Cricetulus griseus: one gene and its partner. The protein of the gene in region 1 purifies or fractionates together with the protein of each later gene. This does not show direct contact. Links are inferred from orthologs where the notes say so. Each region holds a gene or a part of one and is shown in the gene's direction. Other genes may lie near its edges.

Region 1 (16,426 bases):
ACTGATTTGCATCATAAAACAAAAGGCACCTGGTTTTTCCTCTAAGTCTGGCTAGAGGCTGAGGTAGCCAATTTGGGGGTAGCCCTGGGATTATCTAGGAGATTATTGGCCTCCTACTGTCTGTAGGACAGATGAAACACTGCCTATTAGTTTCTTTGCCAGTCTGGCTCCCTGGAAGAACACTAAAATGGGGGATGGCCAGGAGGTATTCTTGGGAAGATAACAGGCTGTTTGTGTCTTGGCCTTCCCAAGTACCTCTGCTGGTAAGGCTGCTTAACCCATGGGTACTTCCAGCCCTACATGAATTCCTGTGCTGGGAACAGGGAGGAGCCTAGGCCATTAGCTGGTTTAGGCTTATGCCACCCTTCCCCTTACAGCTATCCGGGTGACCTGCATGGGTTCCTGTGGGGTCTCCAACAAGGCCAACGATGGGGCATGGGTGGTGGAGGAGAGCTACTTCAACAGCTCCCTGTCACTGGCTGACAAGGGTGAGTGTGGGAGTCAGGAGTGATCACAGGGGCAACCCTTGCCTGGAATGGGGTCAATCTATCCCCCCCCCCAACAACTGTCTCTTGGATTTTCACTCTATCCTACTCTCTGGTACTGGGTCTGGGTGGGCTCTGACCCTCAGTATGACAGTTTCATCCCATCCTCTGCCTTAACCACCTTCCTGCTTCTAATTTTATTTTTAAAATTTGTATTTATTTGTTTTTGAGACAGGGTTTTATGTAGCCCAAGCTATGTTATTTATCTGAGGATGCCCTTAAACTTATGCTTCCATCTCCCAGGGGTGTGCTACCCTAACTGGTTTACATAGTCCTTGGAATTGAACCAGAGCTTTGTGTATGCTAGGCAAACACTACCAACTACATTTCCAGCCACACACCCTCATTTAAACCAAGCCCTTCTATGTAGTCTTTAGTTCCTGCTATGACCATACTGTTACAGTGCCGGAGACAGTAGTGTGGACTGTAGTGTCTACTTCTAGTCTGGCACTGTGTCCATTATGGATCTCCTCTGGTTCGCTCCCACCTCCTTCTTGTCTCTGTAGGAAGTCTGCCAGCTGGAGAGCACAACTTCCCCTTTCAGTTCCTGCTGCCTGGTGAGTGGAAAGCTTGTGGGGACAGCAGCCTTGAAATGGTGGGACCTGCAGGTGGGAGGTGCCAGCCAATCCCTGTTTTCTCCATAGCCACAGCACCCACATCTTTTGAGGGACCCTTTGGAAAGATTGTACACCAAGTGAAGGCCTCCATCGATACTCCACGTTTTTCCAAGGATCACAAATGTAGCCTCGTGTTCTATATCCTAAGCCCCCTGAACCTGAACAGCATCCCAGATATTGAGGTGAGGATGAAAGAGAGGCTTCCTTGGTTACCTTCAGCCTTCTCAGACCAGGCAGCCAGGATCTGCAGGCTGAGGGCCTGTCCACACGCCACAGGCATGCATTCTGTACTCACTTCATAAGCTCTGCCCATTTTCACTTTAAGCAACCCAATGTGGCCTCCACTACCAAGAAGTTCTCCTACAAGTTGGTGAAGACGGGCAGTGTGGTTCTCACAGCTAGCACTGACCTTCGTGGCTATGTGGTGGGACAGGTGCTTCGACTGCAGGCTGACATTGAGAACCAGTCAGGCAAGGACACTAGCCCTGTGGTGGCCAGCTTGCTCCAGGTCAGAGCCCTCTGGCTTCCTAAGCCTGTCCCTTTCCCATGGGGCAGAAGGGGTGGGTTGCTGGTCTGCCCAAGCCCACAGTCTGGTCTTTCCTTAGAAGGTATCCTATAAGGCCAAGCGCTGGATCTATGATGTGCGAACCATTGCAGAGGTGGAAGGTACAGGTGTCAAGGCCTGGAGGCGTGCTCAGTGGCAAGAACAGATCCTGGTGCCTGCCCTTCCCCAGTCAGCCCTGCCTGGCTGCAGCCTTATCCACATCGACTATTACCTACAGGTTTGGTGTTGCCCAGGGCTGGGTGGCCTGAGGCTAGGTGACCTTGGCCTGACTCCTCAATACCTGCATTCTTTCCAGGTCTCCCTGAAGGCACCTGAAGCCACCGTGACTCTCCCACTCTTTGTTGGCAATATTGCTGTGAACCAAACCCCACTGAGCCCCTGTCCAGGCCCAGGGTCTTCTCCTGGGGCCTTGTCCTCAGTTGTGCCCTCTGCACCACCCCAGGAAGAGGCTGAGGCAGTGGCTAGTGGCCCCCACGTCTCAGACCCAGTTTCCCTGTCTACCAAGAGCCATTCTCAGCAGCAGCCACTGTCAGCTACTATGGGTTCTATGTCTGTTGCCACCATTGATCCCTGTGTTCAGGTTGGAAGCCCTGCTCGACATTCTCTGCACCCTCCCTTGTGCATCTCTATAGGTGCCACTGTCCCCTACTTTGCAGAAGGCTCCGGGGGCCCAGTACCCACCACCAGCGCCTTGATTCTTCCCCCAGAGTACAGTTCATGGGGCTACCCCTATGGTGAGTGGGAATGACAGGGGCTGGGGGAGGAAGTGAGGGTGCCTTGAACCCCTTGTAGATCCTGCTTTCTCTCCACAGAGGCTCCACCATCTTATGAGCAGAGCTGTAGTGCCAGTACAGACCCTGGCCTGATCCCAGGGAGCTGACCCTGGTGAGCTAACCCTTGCCACCTTCTTCGGTGGACCTGGCCTTTGCCCTGGGACAAGATGCCCAGGGCCTCGTGCCTTTGCTCTCTACCTGGCCCAGCTACTCAGGACCTGCAGCCGATGGGACGACCCCTTGTGGACCAGCCTCTCCTGGCTCCTCTGGAATTAATCAGTCCTCTTCTCGAGAGGATGGGGTAGGGCGGCAGGGATCTGGGACCTGGAGAGACTATAAATAAAGCGCTTTATTTGTAGAGCTGGGCAAGTGGCTGGTCTTCACATCCTAAGCCTAGCCTCAAAGTGGACACTCTGTACAGACTCCGATCCTGAAGAATACAAGCCCTTAAGCTCCTCCTTTGACCTCACCTCTGAAAGACACCCTCCCACACACACCAGAGCTCCTTCCTTCACCATACCCTTCAGGAGGCAACCTGCCTGCCCAATCCTACCTCAGACTCTACTTCAAGCGTATTTATTCCTCACCTCATTGGCACCCCACCTCTATATTCCCTGAGAATGTGACCCCGATAGAGCCGTGCTAGCCACTCCTTTCCACGTTTAAGTTTTAATTTCCCCACTGTCTGTTTAAGGATATTCCTGGTGTTCTTGGGAACACTCTGGCTTGCATTCCAAACCATTGTTCTAGATGGTGTGCTTGGAGGCCTGGCCACCAGAAATATTCATGGACTTGTTAGGAACTTGCTTGCAGTAGAACTCTACTCTTGGGCATGAGGTCACTGTCAGCTCTGAGCATTGTTGTACACACAAGACCTTGAAGCTATGAACTTGGTCCCTAGAGCAAGAATGAAAGACAAAGGCTCCTTGGAGCAGCATTTCAGAGGCACCCTATAGTTGCCTTCATACTCCTTAACATCTCTGGTAACAAGCACTGGTCTGTTGTCCTTTACATGTAATGTTTGCACTGGAAGTGGTTACTGTGGAGTTGGTTAAGTTTCAGTTCTGATGGGAGAGAGCGGCTTTGTTAGGCATGGTGGCCACCTTTCCAGTGTAACCAACAACAAGCTCACAGACTTTCGGGAAACAAGGTGTACTAGAACGCAGGATACTGGCAGTGCTCAGCCAGTATCCCCAAATTTCACATCACTTAACCAACTAGGTCTGCACCCCAATGTCTTTAGGAACATGTTATTGTCTACTCCTTGCAACATGGTCTTTCACTGGGCAGCCACATACCTGGCTAACATTTGATACTGTGGGACAGGTAGGTCTTGGAGAAAGGCAGAAAGTAGGCCACAGATCTCTTAAACACCTTCTGGAAGCGGTGTGGCCTACAGTTGAAAGAAGAGCTTGCGTTTGAATCCCACCTTGTCTCAGGCTGGGGGCATACACTCAACTCCCTTACTTTGGTTCACTCACTTTGAAAATGGGAATGGGAAGCAGGCTTGTCCCTCAGACATACCCCACCTGCCTAGAGCAGGAGCCACTAGATAGGTAGTCAATGGTCACTAAGTTGTAGTGTGATTATGGCTAACTGCAAATTGGGTGTGGAAGGGTCTGTAGCCTTCTAACAGGTCAGTCACATCTTATTTGTCTGGTAAAAGGTTTACTCCTATGTTTCAACCTCTTCAATATTTGTTTTGTTGTTGTTGGTTTTCTTGTTTTATTTGCTGGAGGGTATTGTTGTGAGCACTATGACACACAAAACAGTGGTCATACACCGTATGTCATGTAAGAGTATAGGGAGCCTGGCAAGGTGGTGAGCATCTTTAATTATAGCACTTGGGGGCAGAGGTAGATAGATCTCTGTGAGTTTGCGGCCAGCTTGGTCTACATGATGAGACTCTAACAAAACAAAAGGTAACACCCAAAATAAATAAGAGATAACATGGAGGGGAGAGGCTGCAGAGAAAAATACATCCAGAATAAAAGATGAGAAGTGAGGAGAGCAGGTAAGGCTTTTCTGAGGCAGCTATATTTAAGGCACAAAGGCTAGGAAAGAAGCAAGCTATGCTGCAGTTATCTGAAACAAAGGTCTTGGGGAAAAGGTGAGATGGAGAGGTGGATTGGGGAAGACGGCTCTGTTTGGGCCATGGTTACAGAGGACTGTGCATGACTGTTTCCCATGACCTCCACAAGGGCTCCGTTCATCATAAATAGCCTTAACTCAGCTGTCCTAAAGAATCCTCGGTACTCACTGGGTACTGTCCATTTTCTCCTCTGTATGTGTATGAACACAGTGGTCAACTTAGCAGAACCATTTTTCAGTCTGTGATACTGAGTCTAGGCTGGTTGTCAAAACTCAAGACTTCATTATTTTTTGCCGATGAAACCTCACTTTTGCTTCTTTTTTGACGTCTCAGATGGGAAAGACAGAATTGTTTATGGAGATGAGGTGGCCTAAGATAGTTCGTGTGGCACTAGGTTTTTAGTCTAGTAATGATTATTTGGCCCCGTACACAGGAAGCTTGTGTCTAGCAGAACTTTGGGTAACCAGGGTGAGCACACTTCCTAACTGATGCACAGGTCCCAGCCAGACATACCCTCCTAACCAGAGCATCCATTTGTCTCCTGATTGCTGGGGGTGGGGAGTGGAGGGCTTGCCATCTGGTGCATTCCTCCATGTTGGAATAGCCCCCTCTTGTGGGAGCAGACGTCCTATTCAGGAAGTTACTTCCCTTCAGTTGGAGCATCCTCCCAACATGGCAATCTCCCCTGTGTACCCTCTCAAACTTGTAGAAACATCTTTCTGAAGCAGAATATTTCCTACAAAGTTAGGACATGCCCTTAACTAGAATTCCTTCTCGAAACTGGGACATTCCTCCTAACTGGGGACACTTTCCGTCCAGGACTTTTCTTCAAGATAGAGTGCCATCCTTTACCAGCACTCCACCTCATAAGCAGAGAAACCCTTCCTGAGGTTCCTTGTTGAGGTGTCTTCCAGGATACAGCTCAGAATGTCTGGTTTCTGGAAAAATCAAGGAAATAAAAACGTGTCTGTGATAGGAGGTTAAGACTCAGCCTTTGCTGATGATTGTGGCAGTATGCCTTTAGTCCCATCACTCAGGAGGCAGAGGCAGAGAGAGCTCTGAGTTTATGAGGCCACCTGATCTACAGAGGGAGTTCCAGAACACCCAGGGCTAAATAGAAAAACCCTGTCTTGAAAAACAAAAGACTCAAAGGCTCCTCTGATTAGCCTAAATTGTTCTTCTAATTTAGAAGATACAGTAGCATCTCCTTAGCTGCAAAGACTCCCCTGTGGATGCCCCAATCTGCACATAGCATGGTGTTCTGTATATATTTTATTGTTATTTATACATATGATAAAGTTTATAAACATGACATAAAAAGAATTTAGTAACACTACTAACAGTAGATCAATTCTGAGACTACTGTAACAAAGTTTCATGAATGCAGTCTGATTTCAAATCATCTTACTGTTGTGTGCTCACCCTTTTATGGTGATCTGAGGTGATACAATGACTGTATGAAGAGTTGAAGTGAGATAAATGGTGTAGGCATTACAACACAGGTTACTAGTTGATTGGCAATATGTCAGGAAAATCAGTTGGTGAGTCATAACATCTAAGATTTGACGATGATATAAATGGCTAAGGATTCTCAATAACAGAAGAATCCCCTCCCCCCTTCTTTTTAAAACAAACATTGCAACTGGAAGTCTTCTGTCTTTACTTTTTTTGTTTGTTTGTTTGTGTTTTTGTTTTTCGAGACAGGGTTTCTCTGTGGCTTTGGAGGCTGTCCTGGAACTAGCTCTTGTAGACCAGGCTGGTCTTGAACCGCCTGCCTCTGCCTCTCCAGTGCTGGGATTAAAGGCATGTGCCACCAAAATTCTTTACTTTTTAATTCATCAAAGTGTTGTAGCAGAAAATCATCTTTAAGGACTGGAGAGAAGACTCAGAGATTAAGAGCACTGGCTGTTCTTTCAGAGATCCTGAGTTCAATTCCCAGCAACCACATGGTGACTTATAAACATCCTATAAGGAGATCTGGAGCCCTCTTTTGGCCTGCAGTCATACATGCAAAAAGAAAATTGCCTTTTAGTTACTGTACAGGTAAAATTTTAACTTTATAAAATTTTTTTTATCCAGGCTAGGTGTAGTGGACCATACCTGTAATCCTACTCTTCAGGAAGCAGAGGTAGGAGAAACACTGGAAGCTTGAGGCCATCCATGCTATGCAGTGAGACCTCGCTTCAAGAATAAAACAAGCTAGTTGTGTGGCGCTTGCCAGTAGGATTTGTTGAAGGAGGCAGAAGCAGGAGTTTGAGGACAGCTTGGGCTACACTATACATTAGGAGCTGGAGAGATGGCTCACTGGTTAAGAGCATTGGCTGCTCTTCCCGAGGATATGGGTTCAGTTCCCAGCACTCACATGGCAGCTCACAACTGTCTGTAACTCCACTTCAGGGGACCTGACACCCTCACCCAAACACAAATGCAGGTAAAACATCAATGCACATAAAAATAAATCCTAAAAAAGAAGAAAACAAAGGCTGGAGAGACGGCTTAGTGGTTAAGAACACTGAATGCTCTTCCAGAGGACCCTGGTTCAATTCCTAACACATGGCAGCTCACACCTGTCCATAACTCCAGTTTCAGGGGATCCTACAACTCTCAAACACACACACACACACACACACACACACACACACACACACACACACACGCAGGCAAAACACCAATGCACATAAAAATAAAAATCATTTAACAAAGTCATACTATTAAAAAATAATAAAACTGGCCAAGTGGTGGTGGAGCACACCTTTAGTGCCAGCACTCGGGAGGCAGAGGCAACTGGATCTCTGTGAGTCCGAGACCAACCTGGTCTACAAGAGCTAGTTCCAGGACAGCCTCTAAGCCACAGAGAAACCCTGTCTTGAAAAACCAAATTAAAATAAATAAATAAATAAAACAAACCTTTAATTCCAGCACTCCAGAGGCAGAGGCAGGTGGATCTCTGTGAGTTTGAGGTTAGCCTGGTCTACAGCGTGAGTTACAGGACAGCCAGGGTTATTACTCTTTCTCAAGAAACTCTCAAGAAACCAACCAAATAAATAAGACAAACAAAAACCCCAAATAATACACATTTAAATCAGCCTCTAGTGGTGAGGCCTGTCATCTCAGGAACAAGGGAGGCTGAGTTAGAAGGAGAGCAGGTTCAAAGATTGATTAGACTCAGGGCTAGCCTGGGCAACCTAGATCCTGTCTCACAGGAAAGAAAAGAAAAAGAAAAGCTTTGGGATTGTAGTTCAGTGATCAAATGCTTGCCTAGCAGGTGAAGTCTTGGAATTAAATAAGTCTTGGACTTATACCATTTGTCTTTCTTTTAGGAATCAAGTTCTTTGCATGTAGCACAGGGTTCTAGTGCTGGGATTAGAGGTGTGTGCCTCCATGTTTGGCTGTGCTGGTGACTTTACTACTGTGTTCCATCTTAGGAACACACACTATAATTTTACCCTTAATTAATCTTTGAAGTTTGAAATATTTCAGCCAACTTTTACTCGTGTATCCATTTTTGCCTCTGCTGCAGTTTATCTTCCTTAGATGGCTTAAATTCTCTAGCACTTTCACCTTAATCCCCTTTTTCCAAGTCTGCTTGAGATGTGGTAGCACATTCAAATGTAGAAACAACCTTTCCACTATATAGAAATTCTCTATTCTCTCCACATATAATATTAATAATATATGTACATATTTATTTACTCTCTAGTCCAGACCCATCTCTGAATCTGTATAGCCATCTCTCATTTGCAATAAAATGGCTTGGTGTCTCCTCTTTATTTTAGGTTCCCCCTTTCAGAAGTTTTCATATAGCCTCAGCACTTTTTCTGGCATAATATATGTTCCTCACTGGAATACATATTTCATATAGATACGTACAGATACACATGAATTTACATATTCTTTTGAGACAGGGTGTTTCTGTGTCATGAAGCTCGCTTTGTAGACTAGGCTGACCTCGAACTTAACAGAAATCCGCCTGCTTCTGCCTCCAGAGAGCTGAGATTAAAGGCGTGTACCACCACGCCCATGTCTCTTTATCTGCAAATCTAACTCCTTTTCCATATTAGCGCCTATGCCCTGTGGCTTTAACTTTTGTTAAACAGAACTAGCACAGTTTCTTTCACAGTTTCATGGAAGGTGAGTTCTTATCGTTGTTGTTATTTTGGCTACCTTAGCGTTAAGACTCTTACGGAAATCTCCTGCCTTTTCACTTAAAGGAAGCGCTTTATGCTTCTGTAGCATTTTGGAAAGGTGACATCTATTAAATAGAATAAGGGCTGTCGGGACCTAAGTTAAAAGTCAGTGTGGAAACCCAGCTGGCTAGTGACAGTCAACAAGCCAGTCACGTGTTGACGCGCGCGGGACAAAATCGACAACCTTGCAGAACCAAGCTGTCTCAAGAATGACGCCTAACCGGAAACCTAGGACTAGCTTATTTCTAGAACTTTCTAAGTAATACTTTTGGACCGCAGGTAAATGGAAGGGAGCGAAACCTAGGAAACGGGAAACGGAAACCTCGGTGAAGAAGTCTCAGCGCCAGGAGCCCAGGTTGAATTTCAGCGCGCAGGCGCCACCTGGCCTCTCCTCCAGACGCAGGCGCCGCACGGCCGGGTCTGGGTGCGCAGCCGCGGGTGCTCACGCAGGCGCACGACTGGCCGGCCAGCCCCGCCCCGGTCCTAGGCCGCGAGGCGCGGGCGGGGGCGATGGCGCGCGGGAGGGGCGGGGCCACGCTGCGGGGCCCGGGCCATGGCCGCCGCGGATGCTGAGGTGAGGCGCGGGGCCGGCGTTCGGCGCCGGGGCGCGGGCCGCGATCATGATGGCAACAGCGGAGGCGAGAGGGCAGGAACCCGGGCGTGCTGCGATCTGGGTGGGGCCGCGCGCCTCCGCCGTCTCGGGCTAGGCAGCGCCGAGGCCCCAGCGTCCGGCCCGCGCTCCGCCGGCGCGCTTTGTGCGCGGCGGGCCCGAGCAGCGGCGGCGGCGGCGGCGGCGGCGGCTGCGGCGGCAGCAGCGCGGGGGCGATAGGAGGCCGTGGCCCCGCATCCCGCAGCCGCGAGCTTGACTGCGGGCGGGTCGGAGCGGGGGTGGCGGAGACAAAAGGCAAAGTCGAGCGGGCCAACTTGTGCGTGGGGAGCTGAGGCCGGCCTGCGCCTGCTGCCCCGCGCCGTGACCTTTCACTCGCCGCCGAGAGCGTGGCACCATCTTTAAGGAAAAGTTGGTTAGTCCCGCTCGTCTCCCGCGCACAAAGCCGCAGCAGCAGGGTGACCACGGGCAGCACGCTCGACAGAGGAATGTCTGCGGACCCAAGTTTATTTCTTCACCGATGGCATTAAAGCGGCGGGGGACGGCGAGTTAGCGTTCTTTTGTTCGCGTGGTGGCCTTCCCTCTGCTCTTTCTGCGGGATAGTTTGCTTCCTGGTTTTTTTGTGGCGTAAACGTTATGCCCCGGCGAGAGGGACCGCTGTCTTCCCCAAGCTGAGAGGCCGGCAAGGAGTCGGGGTCCGCAGAATGCACTAGTGTTGTGTTCTCAGGGCCGAAGTACGCGGCCGGTTTGGAAGAAAGTGTAAACATAACAGTTTTCTTCCGAAATTAGCCGCGGGAACAGTTAGCTTTTGGGACTTGCAGACCTCAGAAAGTGAAGGTGTGGTGAGAAGCTGGCACATGTGTGGTGCGGTGCATAGGCTCAGCAGTACATTTTACCCCAGATAATGTATGGTCATTGAATTTCTTTTCTCTTGCCTTTTTGAGTGGTATTCATATAAGTGAACGGCGAGTTTTCAGTTCTAATGCAAGGAGGATTTGTTGAGTACTTAACAACGTTCAAGAACTGACAGGCACCAGGAACACAAGTGTGTAAGAGATGACCCTAAGTCATTTCCAGGCTTGTAAGGAAGGAATGATTCTCATCTTTTATTGAGCACTTGATGTGTCCCAGGCATTGTTTAAGCCCATCAGAGAAGTTACCTCATTCATTTTTTTTAATGACCTGTGCAGCGGGTACTGTTATTTCCTATTAGCAGATGAGGAAAATAAGACCTTGCAGGGGTAAGTAACTTTGCCTGGTCAATTGTAGGCCTGGCCATTTTTCTTCCTTTTTACACAATAATTTATGTGTATATGACTGTTCTTTTTGCATGCGTGCCTGCATGACAGAGGAGGGCATCAGAAACCATTACAGATGCTTGTGTGCCAGTATGCTGGGAATTGAACTCAGGACCTCTGAAGAGCCGCCGGTTCTCCTAACTGCTGAACCGTCTTTCCAGCCCCATTTTTCAATATCAGGCACATAATTGGTGTTACTAATTGATGGAGGAAACTGAGTGGTAGTGCATACTTGTTATCTTAGCACTTGGGAGACTGAGGCATGAGGATTGCATGTTCAAAGCTAGCCTGAGCTATAAACCTCCCATCCCCCAAGGTGGAAGTGTCAGTGGCCTCCAGTTATCTCTGATTTCACAGGCAGCTTACATAGAGTGTGTGTTTGTTGAGCCTGTACCTCGTCCCAGCCCCACTGTAGGACTCCTGTGCATTATGTGGCATATAAAAATGACAGTGATTTCATTTTACCAAGTAGGTTCTCTGGTATCCTTTTTGCAGACGAAGCCACAGGCACTTAGCCCCAGGATTACAGAGGGTGTGCTTTAGTTGAAGATAACAGATCTGTGACTACAGAGCCCATGTTCGATAGCTATGTGTTACACCTGTCTTTGGATTTATGATTTTAAGTGTTTATCATGGAGGCACATGGTAGGGTGAGGGACACTTGTCTTTTATCCTGTTGGTCCTGTGGAATAGGGTAGGTTTGGGCTCATCCTCACTGAATTTTTAAATATTTACTGGTTAGGGTTCATTAATTGTGGGATGATTAACCCATCAGCACTGACACTTGGAACTTAGATCTAACTGTGTGTTTGTGTACTACTGAGGTCTTGGAGAGGTTTATTAATATATCCCCTATTCTCCATTTTTAATATTAATGTGGGCTCCTGCACTTTTTGGGTTTAAAATGTATGTCCTGATAACAGAATCAGAGTGTGATACATAGGGTTTTGTCTTAGCAAAAACATTATCTTGCAGCAGGAGCAAATTCCCAAACAAAATCTGTACTTAGCAGAGTGGCTAATATGTATCTTATTATTAAGATTAAAAAATTATTTAATTTTATGTGTATGGAGTTTTTACTTTCATTTATGTTCACATGTCTGGTACCTGTGGAGGCAGTGCAGCCCCTGAAACTGGAGTTAGGGTGGTTGTGAACCCATCAAGTAGATGCTGGGAGTTGAACCCTGGTCTTCTGGAACAGCAACAAGTGCTCTGACTGTGGGGTCATCTCTCCAGTCCCAGTGTTACCTTTTTTTTTTTTTTTTTTTTTTTGAGACTGAGCCTTGATGTGACTAGCTTGGAACTCATGACAGTGTATTGGTATATTATTTACCATGCCTACCTGTATCTCTATCTCCTTTTTTTTTTTTTGGAGACAGGGTCTCTTCATGTATATGAGGCGGACCTCTGACTTGCTATGCTCCTAATATTGACCTTGAACTTCTGATCCTCCTTGGGTCACAGGTGTATATTACCATATCTAGCTTTGTTGTTCCTTCAGTCTTAAGTTTTAATTTAAGACATGCATACCTGTGATTTTAGCACATGGAGGCTGAAGATCATAAATTAGGTTAGCCTGGGATACTTTGTTAGACTTTGTCTCAAAAAAAAAAAAAAAAAAACCCAAAAAACAAAACAGCCAGGTGTGGTGGGGTGTGCCTTTAGTCCTAGCACTGGGGAGGGTAGGCAAATTTCTGAGTTCAAGGCCTTCCTGGTCTATAGAGGGAGTTCCAGAACTGTGAGTTCTACAGAAAAAAATCCCAAACACTAACACCCCCCAAAACAATTTTTTTTGTTGTTGTTTTTTAGAGTAGTATATGCATGTATAATTTTAAAAGTCAGGGCTAAGAGACATTATTGGAAACTTTGGTTTTCTACAAAGGCAGTAGCAATTTTTAGTTCTTTAGTGTTTACTTCATGTTTCTGAATGCTGTTGTTATGTCTTTACTCAACCAGCTATAGGGGATTATCTGTGTATTGCCAGTAACAGAAGATGAGGAATTTAATTCTTTCAGTCTGTGGTCACCTGCTAGTTAGAATGGACATTATCTTGAACTGGTGTGCAGCATTGTCTTTGGAGTTTAGCCTACCTTCCTTGCTCTTGAGAGTGCTCTGCTTTATTCTGGTAGCTGCTTAAGTAAATGATGATGGGGCTGAGGATGTCGATGAATTGATAGGGTGCTGGGCTAGATTAAACTGGGTGTGGTAGTGAATTCCTGTAATGTCAGTGGTAGGTAGGTAGAGGCAGGAAGAGTAGAAGCTTTAGGTCATCCTCAGTAATGTAGCAAGTTCACGACAAGTGTGGGTTCCAGGGGATGCTGTCTCAAGAAAAAAAGGGTCAATGGCTATGAACCTTGTAGAACTTTACTACTGTCACTCTTGAAGAATATGTTTGGGTAAGCATGAATTCCTGCTTGGAAGTCGGTTATGAAGGATTTGGTGTGTGTGTGGGGCATGGTATGGTGCCAGGGATTATTTGTTTTTATTTATTTTTTTCCTCTGAGACATGGTTTCTTTGAGTAACAGCCCTGGCTGTGCTGGAACTCTCTTTGTAGATCAGGATGTCCTTGAACTCAGAGATCCACCTGCCTCTGCCTCCCAAGTGCTGGGATTAAAGGTGTGCACTACCATTGCTTGGTAAAGAATTGACATTAGGTTTTTGTGGGTTTCTTTTTATTTATTTATTTTTTTTGATTTTTCCAGACAGGATTTCTTTGTGTAGCCTTGGCTATTCTGGAACTTGCTGTGTAGAGCAGGCTGGCCTTGAACTCAGCGATTTGCCTACCTCTGCCTCCTAAGCACCAGTATCAAAGGTGTGGGCCACCACCACCCAGGTACCTAGGACTTAAATGTATGTTCAGGATTAGTGAGGACTTGAGACCTCTATGGTTCACAAACCTTTTGTCTTAACAAAATGTCACGAATGCTAAAGCAAGAACTCTACCACTGAGCTGTTGGTACCAAAGGTGCTTGTCATCATTCTTGGCTCCAGTGTTTTTTTTTACTAAAAACAGTTTTTTGTTTTGTTCAAGACAGGGTTTCTCTGTAACAGGCCTGGCTATCCTAGTTTGTAGACTAGGCTAGCCTTGAATTCACAGAGATCTGCCTGCCTCTGTCTTCTGAGGGCTGGGATTAAAGGCGTATGCCACCACCGCCTGGCCTGTTTTTTTTTTTTTTTTTTTTTTTTTTTTAGAGTAACCTTACTTGCCGGTAGTAGTGCATGCCTTTAATCCAGCAGTTGGCAGAGGCAAACGGGTCTCTGTAAGTTCGAGGCCAGCCTGGTCTTCAGATCGAGTGCCAGGATAGGCTCCAAAGCTACACAGAGAAACCCTGTCTTGAAAAACCAAAAAAAAAAAAAAAAAAAAAAAAAGGTAACCTTACTCTATGTAGACCTAGTTGTCCTTGAACTCACAGAAATCCACCTGGCTCTTGCTTCCTGAGTGTTGGGATTCAAGGATGAGCTACCACACCTGGTTTGTTCTGTTAAAAGATTTACAGAGAGGGGGAGAAAGAGGGGGAGAGAGGGGAGGGGAGGGAGGGAGAGGTGTGTTTGTGAACTCAATATCTGGTCTTTGCATTCAAATGCAAGTCTCTGGAAGGTCTGAAGAGGGCATCAGATCTGGAGCTGGAGCTACAGGCAGTTAGTTGATTGTGAGCTGCCTAGTGTGGGTGCTGGGACCCAAACTCAGGTCCTTTGCAGGAGCAGCAAGTGCTCTTAACCTTTGAGCTATCTCCCCAGCACCTGTTTTTTTCTCATGTGTTAATATCTCTTTCTTTCCTTCTTTGTTTTTTGTTGTTTTGTTTGTTTCATCGTTATTTATTTATTTATTGTTTTTGAAGACAGGGTTTCCTTTGCGTAGGCTTGGTTGTCTTGAAACTTGTTCTCTAGACCAGATCTGCCTGCGAGTTACTGGGATTAAAGGCGTGCGCCACCAATGCCTTTAATATTTCTTTTTGCTTTAACACAGTTGTGTTTCTCCCTTACATATGTAACAGTATGTAAGAGCACAAATGCAGGGCTTTAAACTGATTATAATTTATGTTTTATCTTTCCTAATAATGCTATTATGAATGTCCTTAATTTTTTTTATTTTACATTTATTTATGTGTGGATGCATGTGTGAGTGTGTGAGAGATCAGAGAACAATTTGCTAAACATGGTTCTTCTACCTTGTGGGTTCTGGCTATCAAACTCGTTTATCAGTCTTGGTGGTAAAGTGCTTTTACCTGCTGAACTACCTCACTAGCCCTGTAGTGAACATTCTTGTACCTTCTTTTTTTTTTAAGATTTTATTTATTTATTTATTTATTTATTTATTTATTATGTATACAACATTCTGCTTCCATGTGTATCTGCACACCAGAAGAGGGTACCAGATCTCATAACTGATGGTTGTGAGCCACCATGTGGTTGCTGGGAATTGAACTCAGGACCTCTGGAAGAACAGCCAGTGATCTTAACCTCTGAGCCATCTCTCCAGCCCCCTTCTTATACCTTCTTATATGTACAATTGTGTGTTTTTTTTTTTTTTTTCCAGAGTTGATAAAGTTGAATGTATTTTAAGTCAAGCCAATTTCAGCTGCTTGGGAGGATGATGGAGGAGGATTGTAAAGTTGATCTTTTTTTTTTTTTTTTTTTTTTTTAGAGAAGGTTTCTCTGTGTAGCCTTAGCTGTCCTGGAATTCACTATGTAGACCAGGCTAGCCTCAAACTCAAGAGATCCACCTGAGCACATGTAGTCTTTTTTTGGCTTTCCTTATTTCCAGTGGAATAGTTCATTCCTACCCCTTTTTATGCTTGCCTGTCCTCAAGTGTGGTGTGTTTTTGGAAGTTTTTAAAAAGTATTTTTTAATTTTGCTATGCTGTACTTGGGTATAGGTCAAGAAGAACTTTCGGGATGCTTTGGGAATTTAACTCAGGTTGTCAGTCTTGGCAGCAAGCATCTGTACATAGTGAGCTATCCTGCAAGCTTTGTTCCTGGAGCATTCTGTAGGGTCCAACTTCTAGTCTCCGGTGACTCTAGAATGTGATTTGCTTGTTTGTATTCCACTTTGACTATCACTGTTCTCTGTACCTTTCTCTGTCTGTCTGCATCAGTCAGTTTGCTTATTACTAATCATCCCCTTATTTAAATTTCTCCTTTTCTGTGTCATGTAGTGAGTTAGCTTTACTTTAACTCCCTATTCAAGTTTTTGTCAGGTTTTTACATGTCTCCTAGATAGACATGTCAGGTTTTATTTTTTTCCTGTTTTTTTTTTTGTTTGTTTTTGATAAGAGGAGGTGGAAGGTCAGAAGCATTTATTTTAAATGTGAATTTTTTTCTTTTTCTTTTTGAGACATATCTTCCCATGTAGCCCTGACTTTCCTGGAACTTGTATAGAACAAGGCAAGCTGCTTCTGCCCCCAAGTGCTTGGATTAAAGTCACTGTGTGACTGGTTATAACTATAAATCTTGTTAGTGGATTCTCATCTGAATAGTTACTGTGTACAGGGCTGCTTCTCTGGGTGGAGGAGAGATGGAGAGGAGAGAGAGAGACAGAGAGACCGAGATTGATTGTATACTTTGTGATTGGAGTGCATATTGGCTTAACAGACCAGCAGAAATAATGCTTCATTCAGCCCTGACATCATAGGACATCTTTAGGTAGTTTAGTTGAGCTAGAGTGGAGGCTAGCACACTAGTTTCCTGCTTCTGCCTCTGTCACAATAATTTGTTTGGCCATATTTTATGGAGTTTGTCTT
Region 2 (15,813 bases), on another chromosome or scaffold:
GCAGAAATAAATGCCCCGAGGTCTTTGTTGCATGGCAACACCTTTACACCAGCTCTCATTCTGCTGGTGGCAGGAAAGGGTTTGGCCTGCATGGTGCTGGGCAGGGTGGCCTGCCTCCAAGCCCTGGGATGTAAGCTGGTATAAGAGAAGTATTAGTTTATATTGCGTTGGTTTTGTAGTTCAGCCATGTCACTTGAAAGTCTGCCAGCACCAGGGTCTGCACTCTGTATCCTCACAGTCACTGTAATGGTGACTCTGTGAGTTCTGCAGGGTAGACATGTTCAGCCTCCTGAGTCTTTCAGCATTCCTGCAGCAGCTGCAGCACCCTGCCCTCAGGTACTGAGGACCATGATCACAAACATGCACCATCTTTCCCAGAGCCCAGGCTGCGTACTGTGGGGTGACATCTTTAGAAGATATGCTCATTTCCTATAAAATTAAAACTTTTAGTATACTCTTTTGTCAACCTTGCTTGACTTAGCTGCTGTGATGTCCTAGGTCTTTGCGTGTCCTCCAGTCAGCATCAGACCTGTGTTATATAGGCAGTGTAGGAGCTTGAAGACTTTGGGGGACAGGGTTAAATTGGCCTGGGTGGCTCAAGGAAAAATCTAGCAGGCTTGGGATGATGTTGTATGGGCCAGGGGTGTGGGATTTATAGCTCACAGGGAGGCATAGATAGTGGAGACCCAGATTTGTAACCCTCCCTAGGCATCACTGTCCATTCTTTTAGTTCTGTGTGGTGCTCTTCCTGCCATTGTCTCCAGTGGAGATACACACAGGGCTGCTTTGTCTAGAGACAAGTCTCCAGTGAAGCTTTCTGTAAGTCGCATGACCTCTATGTCCTCTACAAGACCAAGCCTCCCTACAGCATTGGAAGATGTCCTACTAAGAAGGGCAGGGAGGGGGGCAGCCCCTAAAAAACTGGAATATCACGCACAGCCTGTGCTCTTCCAGTGAGGATAGTGTTCCCAGATGGCTTTGAAATGGACAGGTGTTCTCAGGTGTCAAGACCTGAGGCATCTGTTGTAACATACACAGGCAGGCAGACACACAAAGTTGACCAACATTACTGAAATTGAGTCTTGGTGGCAAATGCATGCCCTGTATCATAGTTTCCATTCTGTGCCTTCCCTAGTATGTGATCTAAGTCGAAGCTGGCTGGGAACACTCTTGTTTCTCATGGGCACCTTCCCTCCTTGCTGTCCCACTGTCCTGTTGTGTTTTACCCATCCATGCCTTTGGCAGTGCCTGTGCTGGAGGTTCATGTAGTGATGTTTTGCCTACCTTACTCCATGTTGCCCTTCCCAGTCAGCTCTATTGCCAGGCAGCAGGCACTTCCAGCTTCTGCCTCCACCCGACCTGAGTGACCAGGTTCTGTCCCCTGGCTTCCAGAACTGGGTAGGACTAGCTTAAGGACAGCTTTGCCACCAGAGAGGGCTGCTTGGGAGTAGAGCTGGCCTTGTACCCCACAGGGATCTGGGCCTAGAGATAGGAGGAGACCCTCTCTGTTGCTGCAGAATCCCTTCCCAGAGTACCTTTAAAGAGGATGGCGGATGCTGAAGGGTAGGAGGGATCTGGTCCTAGTTGAGAAGTGATGGCTATTCCCAGGAAGAGTTTTTGGTTGATTGTTTGAGACAGAGTCCCTGAGCCCCCTTGGCCCAGATAACTGTTGCTTTTGCTATTGGAGATGATGGTGGCCCATGGCCCATGCAGGGTGCAAACACTCCTTGCCTGAAGTCTGTCAGAGCTTCCAGCATTCTGACTTCAGGTCCTTTCCTTCTGCAGTGGCGCCTTAGCGCCCTCTGCTGGGAAAGTCTATCCTGGCACCTACTGAGGGGAGAATTGGGCCTGTGGCAGGTGCCTGGCACGGGCAGGACTGTGACTCAAGGACATTGTTGCTGCTTTATTGACAGGTTCTTCATTGTCTGTAGTGTTTCTCAAGTCTGGGAATATCCTGGAAGCCAGCACTGGGCACATGTGCTGGGAACTCACAGAGAGAGCATGTGAAAAAGTTTGTGAGCCTTCTGGAAGGAACTGTCCTCAAATACACTGGGTGCTGGGTCCTAAGGCCCCGATCTGCCTTGGATTGGTGGCCACATATGGCCTTTCTGGATGAGCTTCCAGAGCCTGGGTTGACAAGTGGTCTTGTCTCTTGGTTGTGTTGAAGGGTGTCATAGCCAGACTCTATCCTAGCCAGCCTGATGTTCAGCTAAACTGAGGGGTTGGCCCCTGTTAGGAACAGGGACCAGGGCTTTGGCTGCTCAGTGACTGACACACACTTCAGAGGCTGGGTTTTTGTGCTCACCTGTAATAACCTGAGTCTTTGGGCTATTGGCCCTGGCAAAATATGTTTGGATGTCATGGCCTCCATTTTCAGCATAGCCAGGCAGCACTTTCAGGTGAACCAAGTAATTGTTAGCTGTGCAGGGACTGGGAAAGAAGTTGGGTGGAATGCTGGAAAGCTAGCACCTGGCAAGCTTTCCTGATAGCTTTGCTAAAAGATCTATGTTGGGGCATGGTTGGGATAGCCTTAGATGTCAGGAAATGTAAATGTAAAGGAGAGAGTCCCAGGGAAGCTAGTAGACCCCTTTCTGCAGTTTCACAGCCCTGTACCCAATGCTGGCTGCTTTTACCTCCCAATTTGAGAACACTGTGGAGTCTGGGCTGAGCCAGAAGTCTGATGGGGTAGCCAACTACAGAGCTGTTCCTAGGTTCACACAGATGACTTGGGCTTGCCCCAACCTGGGATTATGAACTCAGTGAGTGAGTGTCTTGCTGTCCGGTTGATCTTCCGCAGCTGTGACTGGACAGGGCTAAGGTTGTAGGACACAGCTTCTCTCTCATGGAGCATCCTGGAGTCTGAGCTTTAGCTGGCCTTTGATGGCATTTTAACTTGTCTCTTGTGTTTGATTTTTAGTAAGACTTTGAACCCGACGCAGGCTTCAGTGGCTGCTGTGGAGCAGAAGCCTGAGAGCTTTGGTTGGAGAGAATAAGACGTGGGATGAGGCTCCGTGACAGAACGTGGTTCGGCCTGGGGATTCTGAAGACAAAAAGCTTTGGACAGGCGAATTCATGGTCGTGGAAACCCCGCCCCAATTAAGCAATGTCAGGTTGGTAGGGGTTGCCAAGTGAAGCCATCTCTGTGAGGGAACTACAGGAGGGACTTGGGCTGCACTGCCATAAGCTAGGCAGGCTGACCCATGCCTGAGGAATGTGCTTGGTGTTTGCAGGCTGCCTTGGCCAGTGGCCATCCAGCTACTGCGCTAGGGGTTGGTTTCTGTCAGAAAAAGTGTCCCAAGGGTATGGAGGTGGGTGCTGAGGTCAGGTCTTACCTGAAGGAGCTTGAGGGTCAGTTCTGAGGCTGTGCATGCCCCAATGCAGACCTGAGATCCTTGTTTCTTGTCTTTTCTGTCTTCTGCCTGGGAAAAGTTCTTAAGTAAGCTCAGCCCTGGGCTAGAGCTCCTGCATAGCATGGGTCCAGTTAGTAGATCTGTGTCTCCTGGATGGGTTTGTTTGGGAAGACCCTAGGGCTGGAGCAGCTCTGTGAATGAAGAGGTGGCCAAGCCCACCAGCTTTTAGAGGGCTTGGACTTTGGTCCTCCCATATGAATCTTTGGGTGTCATACCCATCATTTAGATGAAGATACAGGCTCAGACCCCAGCCTAGCCACACCCACATCCATAGGTCCTCTCTGAGGAGTTGTTTATAGGGCGAGAGAGTGGGGTTTCCACCCAGGCTGGGCAGGTCCTTGATGAGGTATAGGCCACTTCCCAGGCAATAGGTTCAGGCTGTGCTCTGAACCTATTGGACTTGCTTTGTAGCCTTAGAGGATTTGTGGACATGGGCATTGCTCACCACATTCTTATAGAATGTGGTGTTCAAGCCAGGGAATGAGAAAAGTAGATGTTTATCAACTCTTTTAAAATAGCAGTAAGTCTGTTACCTTCTATAAAAAGTAATACTTTTATGTGAGAAAAGCCACTTTGCAAGTCCGAGTTGGAGGACAAGTGGATTGTTGTTTTTCCACCTCTGCTGTCTGGTGACAGGGGTAGCTAGGGATGTGATCCATAGGGGTCAAGGAAGGAAGTATGCAAATGCCAAGCCTGTGACCTTGAAGTCTGGACCATCAAGTCTTCGTACCTTTACTTTTACAGTTTATGAAGGACTGGTGTGTCCTTCATATGTGTGTCTTCTCATAGTCACATTGACTCTGGGGAAGGGCTGTGTATAGCAACACCTCTGTTCCACAGCTGGAGTCCTTGTGCTTAGTGTTGTCTATCAGGCAGCTCCATTATGGGTGGTCACTGAGACCTGTGTCACAGTCCAGGTATCCAGTTCCAGACTGGAAGCACTCAGTGATTTTTCACCAGCCCTGTTAAACATAGGTGTGACAATCCAAAGGACATTGCTTTTCTGTGACATGTGTTCTCTGAGGCACTTACTTGGCACTGGCAGCTTGGGGCAGCCTCTGCACCTGGAGGCAAGAAAGGTGACTGTGAACTCTACTGCAGCTGTTGCACGGTTACCTTTGGCCTGCTCAGTGGGAGACTGTGGTGACTTGTTTCTTGCCTTTACCCCCCCCCCCCCACTGTGCCTACTCCATGGTCCATACTCCTGGCTAACTCTTTTGGAGGCCCTGGGGCTGGACAAGGTCCTGCCTGGTGTTGTCTGCTACTGTGGAGCTACCTTTGGTCTCCATGAGGTGTCTGCTGCCCTGCCCAAGGTGGCTATAGTACCTGGGACTACTGTGTTGGCTGTGTACTTGTGAAGCCCTTGGTACTGTACTTGGCCCCATGTGGGGTCTAGTTTTTTAGGGTGTCGTGTTAGGAGCAAGCTGATTTCATATCCATAAAGGCTTTTGTGGAGCTAGGAAACAGACCCAGACCTCACACTCACTGGGCAAGTGCTCTTTGGAGTTGCACTCCAGGCCTAAGGTTCTTTCTCACCTTGGTCTGGGAGGTGGGTTCTGAGAGTGTGGTAGCCCTTTTTTCCTGTCGCAGTTTTTTGGCCCTTGAAATCTACCACTAGGAATGATACCAGGTTGGGTCACATGCTAAAATCACTGTGGTCTCTCTGTGGGGTTCTGGGCAGTTACACAGTGGTTTTTAGGCAGCAAAGAGTGAACAGGCACTTTCCTGAATCATATTCTTTTGTGTCTGCACATTTTTGTGTTGACAAGATAGCTTACAGCTGTAGGATGCCAGGGCTGAGGTGCCTCCTACCTCCTCTGTACCCTTGTCCCCTATATCCCCACTAGGGTCTCCAAAGATTTCAGGTCCTGCGCCCTTGAGGTCTGAGTCCACTCAGTCATCAGTGAAATGTTGCAAACTCCTATTTCCTTCTTCCTGGTTTTAATTTGCTTTCTACAAAGCCTTGTGTAGCCAGAGGCTGAGTGCAGTAAGTTCTCAGGGCTGATTTCCCCAGCCCTAGTGGGTAATACAGTTCTCAGATCATAGACTAGAGCTGCTGAGGGCATTAAGTGGTCTGCTCCTTTCTTGCAGGCGTCCGACCTCCCATCATGAACGGGCCCTTGCACCCCCGGCCCCTGGTGGCGCTGCTGGATGGCCGGGACTGCACAGTGGAGATGCCTATCCTGAAGGATGTGGCCACAGTAGCCTTCTGTGATGCACAGTCCACACAGGAGATCCATGAGAAGGTAGTGTCTTAAGTTGGCCAAGTTTCATGGGGTACAGGGGGGCTCCAGAGCATGGGCCATGCAACCTCAGGCTGCAATCTCAGTCAGCACACAGCACTAGTCATGCTCCTTGGTCTCTGGCAACAGTAGGTCTAAATACCACAAGGTCTTGTATGGCCTGTCACTGTGCCTGGCCTTGTCAGGAGGTAAATATTTCTTACTCTGTATTTTCTTGGTTTCTTACATCACAGCCAGTTATTAGAAGAAGTGGAACTGTGGGCATCTGCCAGTGATTATGCTGGATGCTACCTGGAATATAGCAGGTCACAGTATCTTTACCCACAGTACCTACGGAGAGCTTGTTGTTGGGTGGTTAGCAGCTCTGAGCAGCTTCCGTGATTCATGTTTGCTCAGATCTGTTGGGTTCTTCCATGACCTGGAGTGTGCTCATCTGGTTTCTGGTTGTGTCATAGCCAATTCAGACTTTGCACTGGAGACAGCTTGAAAACATTCTTTACCACAAATCTAAAAAACCTTCAGGAGCTGACAAGGTAGAACCAGTCAGGGATTGCAACCATGAGCGACCTGGCATCTGCTCTTATGGACAGTCTGGTTGGGTAGCCTGGAGATTTGCTCCTCTGGGAGGAGTGGTGAGCTCTGGTCTTGGTGGCATCATGGCCTTGGAGGGTGAGCCTGTTGGCCCATTGCAGATGTTGCCTCAGACCCAGAGAGCAGTGAAACCCGTATCTGAATGTACCTTCACCTAGCCTATTACCCAGCCTTGTAAGTCTGCCAGGCATGGGATTTAGCATATAGTGGACCTATAGCCCTGCTCCCCAGGGGCTGTAGAGTCATCTGGGACAGTCATTCCAGCCTGGCCTCAGTATGTGTCTATAGTCTTTGGGCACTCACTCAGCTATAAGGAGGCAAGGCTCTGTGAGGAGAAGAGAGCTTCTCACCAGCAGGAACCCCAGTTTGACTGTGGGGTGGGCTGCCTTCAGGCAAGAAAGAGACAGTGCTATCTTGGGGTTCATGTAGCAGGTATGGGGGAGCAATACAAGACACAGAGCTGTACTATAGTAAAGCTAAAAGTGAGAATCACTCCTTTGGGCATAGTAAGTAGTAGGGAGGAAGGGATCAGAAGTCCTGATTCTTATGCCTTGTGGTGAGAGTGGGGAATGGGAGGAGCAAGGAGTGGGCAAGGTAATAGAATCCATAACTAAAGAGGGAAGGAACTAGATGCAAAAGCTGGAGACACTGTGGTGGAAGATTTCCCCAGACAATAGGAAACTGTGTTAGTGAAGGGCCTTGAGCCTGTGGCATGGCATGGCATGGCATGGACAGTAGTCAGTGGCACTCTGTATTGATATACAACCTTTCAGCATTCTAGCAGCCTTTGTAGCAGACATGACATGCACTATCATCATCATCTGTATTTGAAGGTATGGCAGCTTGATTCACAGTAGCCCAAATTGGGCAACCACCAGTACCCTTTGGTGATATGGCTGTGAAGATTGTATCCTGCCACAGATCCTGCCTGACTCAGGAAAGGGGTGACCTATAGGCACACAGCACCTTGGGTGTATGTCACCTTCCCCCTTTTTGCTGGCCGGCTGGAAATCTGATATGATGGCTGAAGCCTTGGGTAGGTACCTTGTACTATAAGAGGGAAGCCATATACTGGTAATGGTATAGCTACAAGGCAAGAGTCTAGTACCCAAATAACTATGAAGATGTAACTGAACGTGTGGGACACCTGTCTCTAGATGTGGGAAGTAAGTAACTGTCTTATATATTCTTGTTATGTGGGAATTTCCACCTTTTAGAGCAAGAAGTCCTCACAACTGGCTGAGTGTCACTGTCTACATTGCAGATGAGAATGTTACACTATCAATGAAGAACATGATGAAGAAAACTTCCCAGAGACCTTGGCTCTTCTGCCATGGACCCAGCAGGACTATGAGAGGGGATAGGAGACGCCCACTGGGTGTGGGAAAGTCACCTTGTAGCAGGAATCTCAAAGCACCCCTGGGCTGGGTGCTGTACAACTTCTCAGCCAAATGACCTTCAGCCCAGGGCTACATGGGCCCAGAAGGAATCCAGGGAGACACTGCTCCCAGCATGTGCTGAGTGAGGACTTAGGGCAGCAGGAAGTCCGCACTGGAGATGGGAGAATGATACTTCATGACCCATGGGTGCAGAACGTCCCAGGCCAGAGGAAGTCCCCTTGCAACTATGATGTATGAAAAACAAGTGGTCAGAAGTGTCTCATGTCACCAGCAGGCTGCTAAGGCACTGGCCTTGGGCTCAAGTTGCAGACACATCTGGAACCAGGACAAAGGTTGAGAGGAGAGGTTTCACTGTGAAGGAGTCCATTACCATGGGTCAACAGGTCCCCCTTTCAGAGTGTGCTGAGATTCTGAGACCCATTGTTAATGCCTTGATGGTGCAGAACAGGGGACCAAGGGATGTGTGTGGCCCTCAGGTGTATGGACAAAGTGCTGGTGAACTAAGTTACAGGTTGGAATGGTGTTCTGGTTGGATGGCAACAGTTAGAAGAGCAGGAGGAGGGTGCTTTTCTTACATATCTACACAGAGAAGACTTACACAGCTCTACAAAGGAATCTGTAGGCATGCTCAAATGACAGAGGAAAGTAAAAAGCGGGAAAATTCAGTGAGGTCAAGTGGGCACTGCCCTTTGTGCCCTGGCCCAAGGGTCCCATGTAAGACCTTCAGGCCCTCCCAGTCAGCAGGAAAAGGAAATCCTTACAGAAAGCTGGCCAGAGAAGCACTGCTTATGTAAACCACTTCAGCAAGCCCCTCTTTGGCACCTTGAAAACTCACAATTCACCACCAGGTGGCCAGGTAAACACTGGCCCAGCAGAAAGCCTGGATGCCGCTTCCTCTGTGGAGAACAGCTGCAAAGTCCCCCCGTGATTCTGAAGTTGGATAATGTGCAGAGGCTTCAGCCAGCATCTGCTCTGCTTGTATTTGACTGTCAGCAGAAAAGTATCAGGCATGATGGTGAGGTGGGAAGGGCTATAGTTTCACATGATAGCTGTTCCTATGCACACCAGGTGACAAAACCATCTAGTGTGGTTTGTATCGTCAGTGTTCTCTCAGAGAGAGGTTGGCACAGTGTTGTCCTGACAGGGAAACCTCACTGTGGTTTGGGGTGTGAGCCCCATTCAGAACTTGCTGCCACTGGGGACACTCATGGCCTATTACCAGCCAAGGGTAGCTGACATGCATTAGTCACTCATCGTATGCTATACCTGCTATGAACATCTGGGACCCATTTCTGTCCTTCCCATTCTGGTATTGAGGACACCAAGTGCACTAGGGCCAAATCATTAACATGATCATACGGTTGGTGTATGGGGACATGTGAGAGCTTGCTTGCAGAGGGTATTCTTGGTGGCCTATCATAAGGGGACAGGCCTAGTGGCACCTACCTTCAGCAGACTTCCTTGGAAATACTAAAGGGAATATAGGAGAGGTACAGGGGGTGTGGATCTGTGGCCAACAAACAAACAAACAAACAAAGACACCATGAAAAAAATTCATGGAGAAATATGGATGGGCAGGTTTTACCCAGGAAGGCAAATTCAAGCACCAGTAGTAGATGAACAGTAGACTGTGTTTTAGATATAGAAAGCTCAGTGGTGATATTAGAAAGTCAGTGGACAGTTAGACAACAGGGTCTAGAGCCTCAGAGGACCCTCCATTTCTAGGAAATTATCTCAAGGAAATAAACACACTGGCTTTTCTCATGGAAGAGTGATAGTCAGTGCAGTGGAAGGTCCAGATGCTTTGATGTCACCCTTCCCTGCTGGAACATTTGCAGGACATCGAAAACATGTTTTTGAAAGACATTACTCTCATGGCTAAGTGCTAAGGATAAGAAGTAAGCTGGCTGTCCACATATACACATATTGACATTCATCATAGACCTCCAGGGTATGGATCTGTCCTGTCCACAGCCAACCCTTTTCAAACACAGTGAGGGACCCGTGTCAGGTGTCAAATCTGTCCCTAACTATAGACTTATTCCAGTACTGCCCCAAGATCTGCATTTTTGGTCTGTACTGCTGTACCTGCCATGGGCCTCAGCCTCACCTGTCCTATGGAGCTGTCCAGGTCCTTCCTGTGCTCGTGATTGCCCATCTGAAGTCCATGTGGCACAAAGCTGTCAAGGACTTCCCTAAATCTCCCCTTATTTCCTGTGCTGTCTCAGCTGCCCATTCTCTATTTACTCTTTCCCACATGGGCTCTCCGTGACTCTCCACTGTCAAATGGGTACCTACTTTTCCACACAGGTCTAAGTAGTATATGTGGTCCTGATCCCCTCGAAGCCAAGGGCAGCCATCAGTTCTGGCCCTGAGCTTAAGTACCCTAGGGGCCACTCACTCCAGCATTTCAGAGGTCCTCATTTCAGCCTCTTAGCGTCTTCCCTCAGTGCCTGGCTTTTTCTTCCTCATGTAGTAGTCTAGATGGCCCCTAGACCCAAAATGAGTGGAAAGGCTACTATCTCCACCCTTGTGGGTCTTCATGACTGGTGAAGGCCATTCTCCCTCAGTGACAGTTGTCTACATTCTGAGTCATGCACCTGGCTATTGAGGTTGTGTAGCTGTAGCAAAGGGATACTGCACCAGCCTTTCCACATGGAGCAGCCTCCACCCCAGAACAATACCCTAGCTCTACAGCCAACCAGATCAGCAGGAAGTACAAGTATATAAGAGGATAGATAGCAGAGTTGTCTTGTTGCAGGGTGTGGTGCTCTCTTAGAGGCTGGCCCTGCCAACTCCCAGTTGACAAGTGCCTCTGGATATGCTTGTTCACTTGGGTCCTCTTTGTACTTTTCCACAGAGACTAGTGTGTACTGGGCCCCATTGTTTTGGGCATGGAGTCTGGTTGCTTGCAGGTGCTGCTGCTAGTTCTTGCCCTTGGACACTACCCACACCCTCTCTGCTGAGGCTCTACTGGTAGCATGCTGCTCTGTCTGAGACAGTTGAGAGAACACAGCTGCCTCTCCATTGTGTTTTAATATCTTCCATTGTGTTCCCTATGCCTCTCCTGCCTCTCTTTTCGAGGCAGGCCACTCAGAATTTTTGGGTACCTTTGGTGGGTCCTGGAAGCTTAGTAAGCAGCCTGTTTTCCCTCCATGCAGGTACTGAATGAGGCTGTGGGTGCTCTGATGTACCACACCATCACACTGACCAGAGAAGATCTGGAGAAGTTCAAAGCTCTCAGAATCATCGTCCGAATTGGCAGCGGGTTTGACAACATTGACATCAAGTCAGCTGGGGATCTAGGTAGGAGCTCTGAAGTCCCTGTTTCCATTGACCAAGATGTCTCACTTAACCTTCAGGCTCTATTAGACAATCAGTAGAGCTGGGACTGCTCCTTGAATGGAAAGGTGATTTGGGCCTATGGGTAGGGCAGGTTGTGCCAGGCAGCACAGGATGTGGGTACAGCTTCACTCATTGTGTTGTCACCAACCTACCAGGCCCTAGGGTTTGGTTGAGACAAGGGGCCAGTCGGGGAGATCATTGCCCTCCTCCTAAGATAACAGCAAAGGGAATGTGTGCTAAAGCCATGCATACATACACATGAAGCAACAAGTGCTCAGACTGTACACACATGAGCACAAATCTGTACCTGTGCATGTATTTATATTGAAACAGCATAGTCATACTTTACCATTCTAGGGTAGCCTGTTTTCTGTGCTAGTAGCCTGCTGACAAAGCCAGGCTACACTCTACAGTGTATGTTGTTGACGTCATTCTGCTACTCTGCTCCTTAAGGCTACAGAGAGAGGCTAGAGCTGACCTGTCTGGGAACCACAGGGCAGCTGAGCACTTCAGTAGTGTGTTGGGAAAGTCAGTCTTGTTCTGTTGGTTCATGCTGCCCTGGCAAGCCACAGGGGCCAAAGCCTTGGTGGCTGACCTGTCCCTCCCTGGGCAAGGCCCTACCATTTGGAATGATCAAGGCAGCATTTGCCTGTCCTCTGTCCTGTTTGCTTGTTAGCTGCCACATCTGTGTTCTGCAAGGCTGTGGGTACAGGCTTAAGTATGCCTAATGACATGTAGTCTCCTAGGTGGCTGTGGGACGTGTCCTCTGACATATTACTACTGTAGCACCACCCTGAGGGTAGGACCTCTGACTGTGGATGACAGGAGGCTATGGACCTGGTACATGTGTCGCCACATATCTTGTAGGCATCGCAGTATGCAATGTGCCCGCAGCATCTGTGGAAGAGACGGCAGACTCCACCCTGTGCCACATCCTGAACCTATACCGACGAACCACCTGGCTGCATCAGGCACTTCGGGAAGGCACTCGGGTCCAGAGTGTAGAGCAGATCCGAGAGGTGGCTTCAGGAGCTGCCAGGATCCGTGGAGAGACCTTGGGCATCATTGGACTAGGTACGTTGGCCACTGTGACTCAGCACAGATAGCCTGTGCCCATCTGCTACCCTTCCACTCCATAAAGCTGAGGCCATGGACTTGCTGGTTGTGTTGCTGTCCCCAGCTCAGCATAAGATATAGGATAAGTAGTCCAGGGGCAGGGCCAGAGACACCAGGCTATGTGTCTTACAGATGCCATCAATGGAGGTCACGTAAGAGTACAAATGAACATCATACATGGATGGTAACATGCATCACATGGGGATTAAACAGACATGGTGTACACATGGACACACTTAGATATATGCACAGTCTATACAAATGTTGTTGCATACACACTCACTCCCCACAGCTCTGGTGCAGTTGAGTGGGCATGACCTCGAGGCCCGTTTCTACCTTGCTTAGGTTATCATTGGTTCCTATGCTCCCTGGCTTGTTCTCACAGCCATCACCTTTTTGTGGGTACCCATCTGTTATGCGTACCATAGAGATGGCACAGTAAATTGTGCTAGAGTTCACCTTTGAGGGCTCCCTTGTTACCAGGCAGCCTACCCTTTGCTGACCCTGGCTGCATTGTGCTTCTGCCTTAGCCCTGCTGCCAGCAGCAAGAGATGGGAAGTGTGTGTAGGTCACCTTAGTTACAGGAAGAGGTGGGCCTGGGATATGGTTGTTGCTGTACTAGTGGACATGCATAGCAGGGCTGTTTGACCCTCCATGGTTCTGAATGTGCCCTTCCTGTCCAGTGTATAGGACAAGACAGCACCTCCTACCTCAGGGTCCTAGTGCCAAGACGTGTTGAAGGATGGAAGAAAGATAAGCATGGGTGGAATAAGGCATAAAGGGTATTGCTGGGCAGGTCTGGGTGGTCAGAGCATCTCCACCCTCAGATCTTGCCCTCGGGCAGTTTGTTTGGTCTCCATCTGCCTCTGCTTTCATCACTAGTGTTTAGGGCCTGAGTCGTGTCCTTTTTGTACCCTCTCTTGCAATGCCAGTTTGTCCAGTATACCATGTAGCTGCCACTACCTATTGGCCTGCTGTTCCTTCTGCTGTGTCAAGCTGTTTACTGTAGCCATCCCAAAGCTCCCTAGGGCTCAGGATACACGGATGGTGACATATATCCAATGTGGATGATGTAGATGACACAGACATGATTATACATGTAAACATACTTGTGTGTGAGTGTACAGTCTATACAAGCAAGGAGGGTGAATTTTGTCCCCTCGGGACACAGCAAGGGCTCCTGAGTTGTCACACCTACCTTGAGGACCCCCTATTCATATGTAATTGCTGTCTACCAACTACAGTACAGGTCTGAGGCTGGTTTCCACACACTCTGGAAGGGAGATGGGCACGTGTCCCAGTGTCCCTGTATCTCCTGCTCTTCTCTTCTGCTACCTGTTGAGGCTGTCTCCTGTGTGGAATATGGTGATTAGTTCTTGGTTCATCAGTGAGGCCACATAGGCAGTGTGGGCTGTAAGTTTTGGTTCTGTAATGGATGTGCCAGCTACTTTCCCTGGCTATTGGACTCTACACCCATAATGCCTGCCTGCCTTCTTTTCCTCTTATAACTGAAACATACTCTGCTTCTTTCATGAGAGTATAGAATGTATTTCTGTCTGAGACAGCCCTGTACTGTTTCCAGCAAGCCCTCTCTGCCTGTGGTCTTTGTGCTCTGTCTGGCACAGCTTGCTAGGTTCATCAGTCCTGGTGAAATGGAACCACAGGGCAGGGACCCTGGGTCTGTGCTCCTTCAACAGACATAAGGTTTCAGGTCTTCTCCACATACCTGTCTTGCTCGGAAGTTCTTCATGTTGAACAGGATTCTATTGATCTGTTTAGCCACTGGACAGATGAAGCTGCTGTAAACAAGTGTAGACATGCCTCTTTGTGACATGTGACACTGTTTTTCTTTAATTTAACCAGAAGTGGAGTGACTTGACAGAGCAGGCAGGAACCACCAAGGCATTCTTCAAGCAGGTGTGTGTCTTTGACACTTCTTAGCTGGGTACCTGCCCTAAGAGTTTGGACTTTGCTGACACTTAATTAATGTCAGCATTAGTGCTGCCCCTTACGTTTTCATCTGCACCTTTCCAATAGCTGAAGTGTCTGAGTGCCTTTCTTGCCGGAATGCCTGGCCCTTAGAGAACTTGTGCCTGTGTTGTGAAGCATGGTGCCTGTTGTGTTCTCTTTGGTTTGTCCTGGTGTGCATCTGCAAGATTCCATCTGTGTTCTGCCTCAGGGTCTCATCAGACAAGCATATTGACACCGTGGTACCCACTTAGTAACTGTGATGAGGACAGATTCTGGTTCTGAAGAAATCCAGCTTATTACTTGTAAGTTGTTACCATTTCTGTTCTAAGTAGTCTCTGCCTTCTCTAGTGCTATGCAGATACTGCTTTCTTCTGGAAGCTTCATAGTTTTGATTTTTACAGGTCTCAGACCACCTGGAATCATACGCCTTACCCAGTGCTATGAGTGTATTATTCCAGAAATGTAGGCAAACATGTTTGTGTCTTTCCACAGTAACAATAAATTCACAGGGCTCAGTGGTTGTAGTGGCAGCAATTTGTTAGATAATTTTGCCTCCCCAGTAATCTGGCCAAGGTGAATGCAGGATTTATTGTTTGTTTGTTTTTTGAGACAGGATTTCTTTGTGTAACAGTCCTGGAAATTGTTTTGTAGACCAGGCTGGTCTTGAACTCACAGAGATCCACCTGCTTCTGCCTCCTTAGTGCTGGGATTAAAGGCATGAGGCACAACTGCCCAGCTTGTTACTCCTAACGACTTAATTTTAATTGGACCCATTCAGACTTAGAAATAAAAGCTCCCAGCAAGGACATCCTTCGTCTCTTGGCAGTCTGTTCCTTATGGTGATATATTGTTAATGATCTAATAAAGTCACTGGAGATCAGAATGCAGAGCCAGCCACACTGCTTAGCTATAGAAACTGGGCAGTGGTGGCACACAACTTTAATCCCAGGACTCAGGAGACAGAGACAGATGAATCTCTCTGAGGTCAAGGCCACCCAGGGTTACAGTAGAGTAAATCAGTCTAAAAGATTAACAGAGCTCACGCCTTTAATCCCAGCACTAGAAAGTATATAAGGAGCTCAGTGCAGTCTCAGAGAGCAGTCTAGGATTCTGAGGTTTGGTGTAGAGCAGTGCAGTCTGGAGATGTAGTCTGAGGTTCAGTGGATCACCCCTTTGGTCTGAGCATTGGTAGTGGCTTTCTAGTGGCTGACTGCTTTGCTTCTCTGATCTTCAGCTTGAACCCCAATATCTCTGGGCTTTTATTATTCATGTTACAAATTAGCACCCAACGTGGGGCTTGAACCCACAATCCTGAGATTAAAGAGTCTCATGCTCTACTGACTGAGCTAGCCAGGCTTCAGAGGCTTTGGAGGGAAATGCACAGGATTGCCCCCTCAGTCTGAGCTAGAGGTAAGAACTGTGGCTGGCTGTTTATCTGATCTTCAGCTTGAGCCCCAATATTGGTCTGTGCGTTTTTATTATTCATACTACAGTTCCTGGTGTTTTCTTTGGCTTCTTTCATTCTTTTGGCCAAAAGTTTCACATATTCTGCAGCCTCCTCATTTTTTTTAGAGCTTTGTTTCTTTAGAGCTGTGTGTTGGTGTTTGTGTTGCAGAACACATGGAGTAACAAGATGCTGAATCTTGGGGGCTGGTTATGGTCCTGGGCTGCTTATCTTCTTTGTTTCTTTGCTCTCTGAAAGTATATTGACAGATGTCTTAGTTACTTTTCTATTGC

The links.
Region 2: the proteins of Ehmt1 (region 1) and Ctbp1 purify together in Homo sapiens (affinity purification with mass spectrometry; 3 studies listed by BioGRID and IntAct, counting the BioPlex papers as one, with this or other methods). This does not show direct contact. The link is inferred for Cricetulus griseus from reciprocal best matches to the Homo sapiens genes EHMT1 and CTBP1.

The regions. Positions count from the first base shown.
Region 1 is NC_048599.1:136,263,964-136,280,389, reverse strand, and holds the start of Ehmt1 (histone-lysine N-methyltransferase EHMT1), read left to right. Parts: upstream 1-9,291; 5' UTR 9,292-9,332; coding exon 9,333-9,353; intron 9,354-16,426. Other genes in the region: Arrdc1 (arrestin domain-containing protein 1), read left to right, coding at 378-488, 1,052-1,102, 1,190-1,344, 1,488-1,670, 1,768-1,944, 2,023-2,461, 2,520-2,593. UniProt on the Homo sapiens protein: Histone methyltransferase that specifically mono- and dimethylates 'Lys-9' of histone H3 (H3K9me1 and H3K9me2, respectively) in euchromatin.
Region 2 is NW_023276807.1:102,301,832-102,317,644, reverse strand, and holds part of Ctbp1 (C-terminal-binding protein 1), read left to right. Parts: intron 1-2,917; exon of another isoform or gene 2,918-3,103; coding exon of another isoform or gene 3,104-3,110; intron 3,111-5,501; coding exon 5,502-5,656; intron 5,657-7,508; exon of another isoform or gene 7,509-8,587; coding exon of another isoform or gene 8,588-8,659; intron 8,660-10,805; coding exon 10,806-10,950; intron 10,951-11,856; coding exon 11,857-12,063; intron 12,064-15,813. UniProt on the Homo sapiens protein: Corepressor targeting diverse transcription regulators such as GLIS2 or BCL6. Has dehydrogenase activity. Involved in controlling the equilibrium between tubular and stacked structures in the Golgi complex.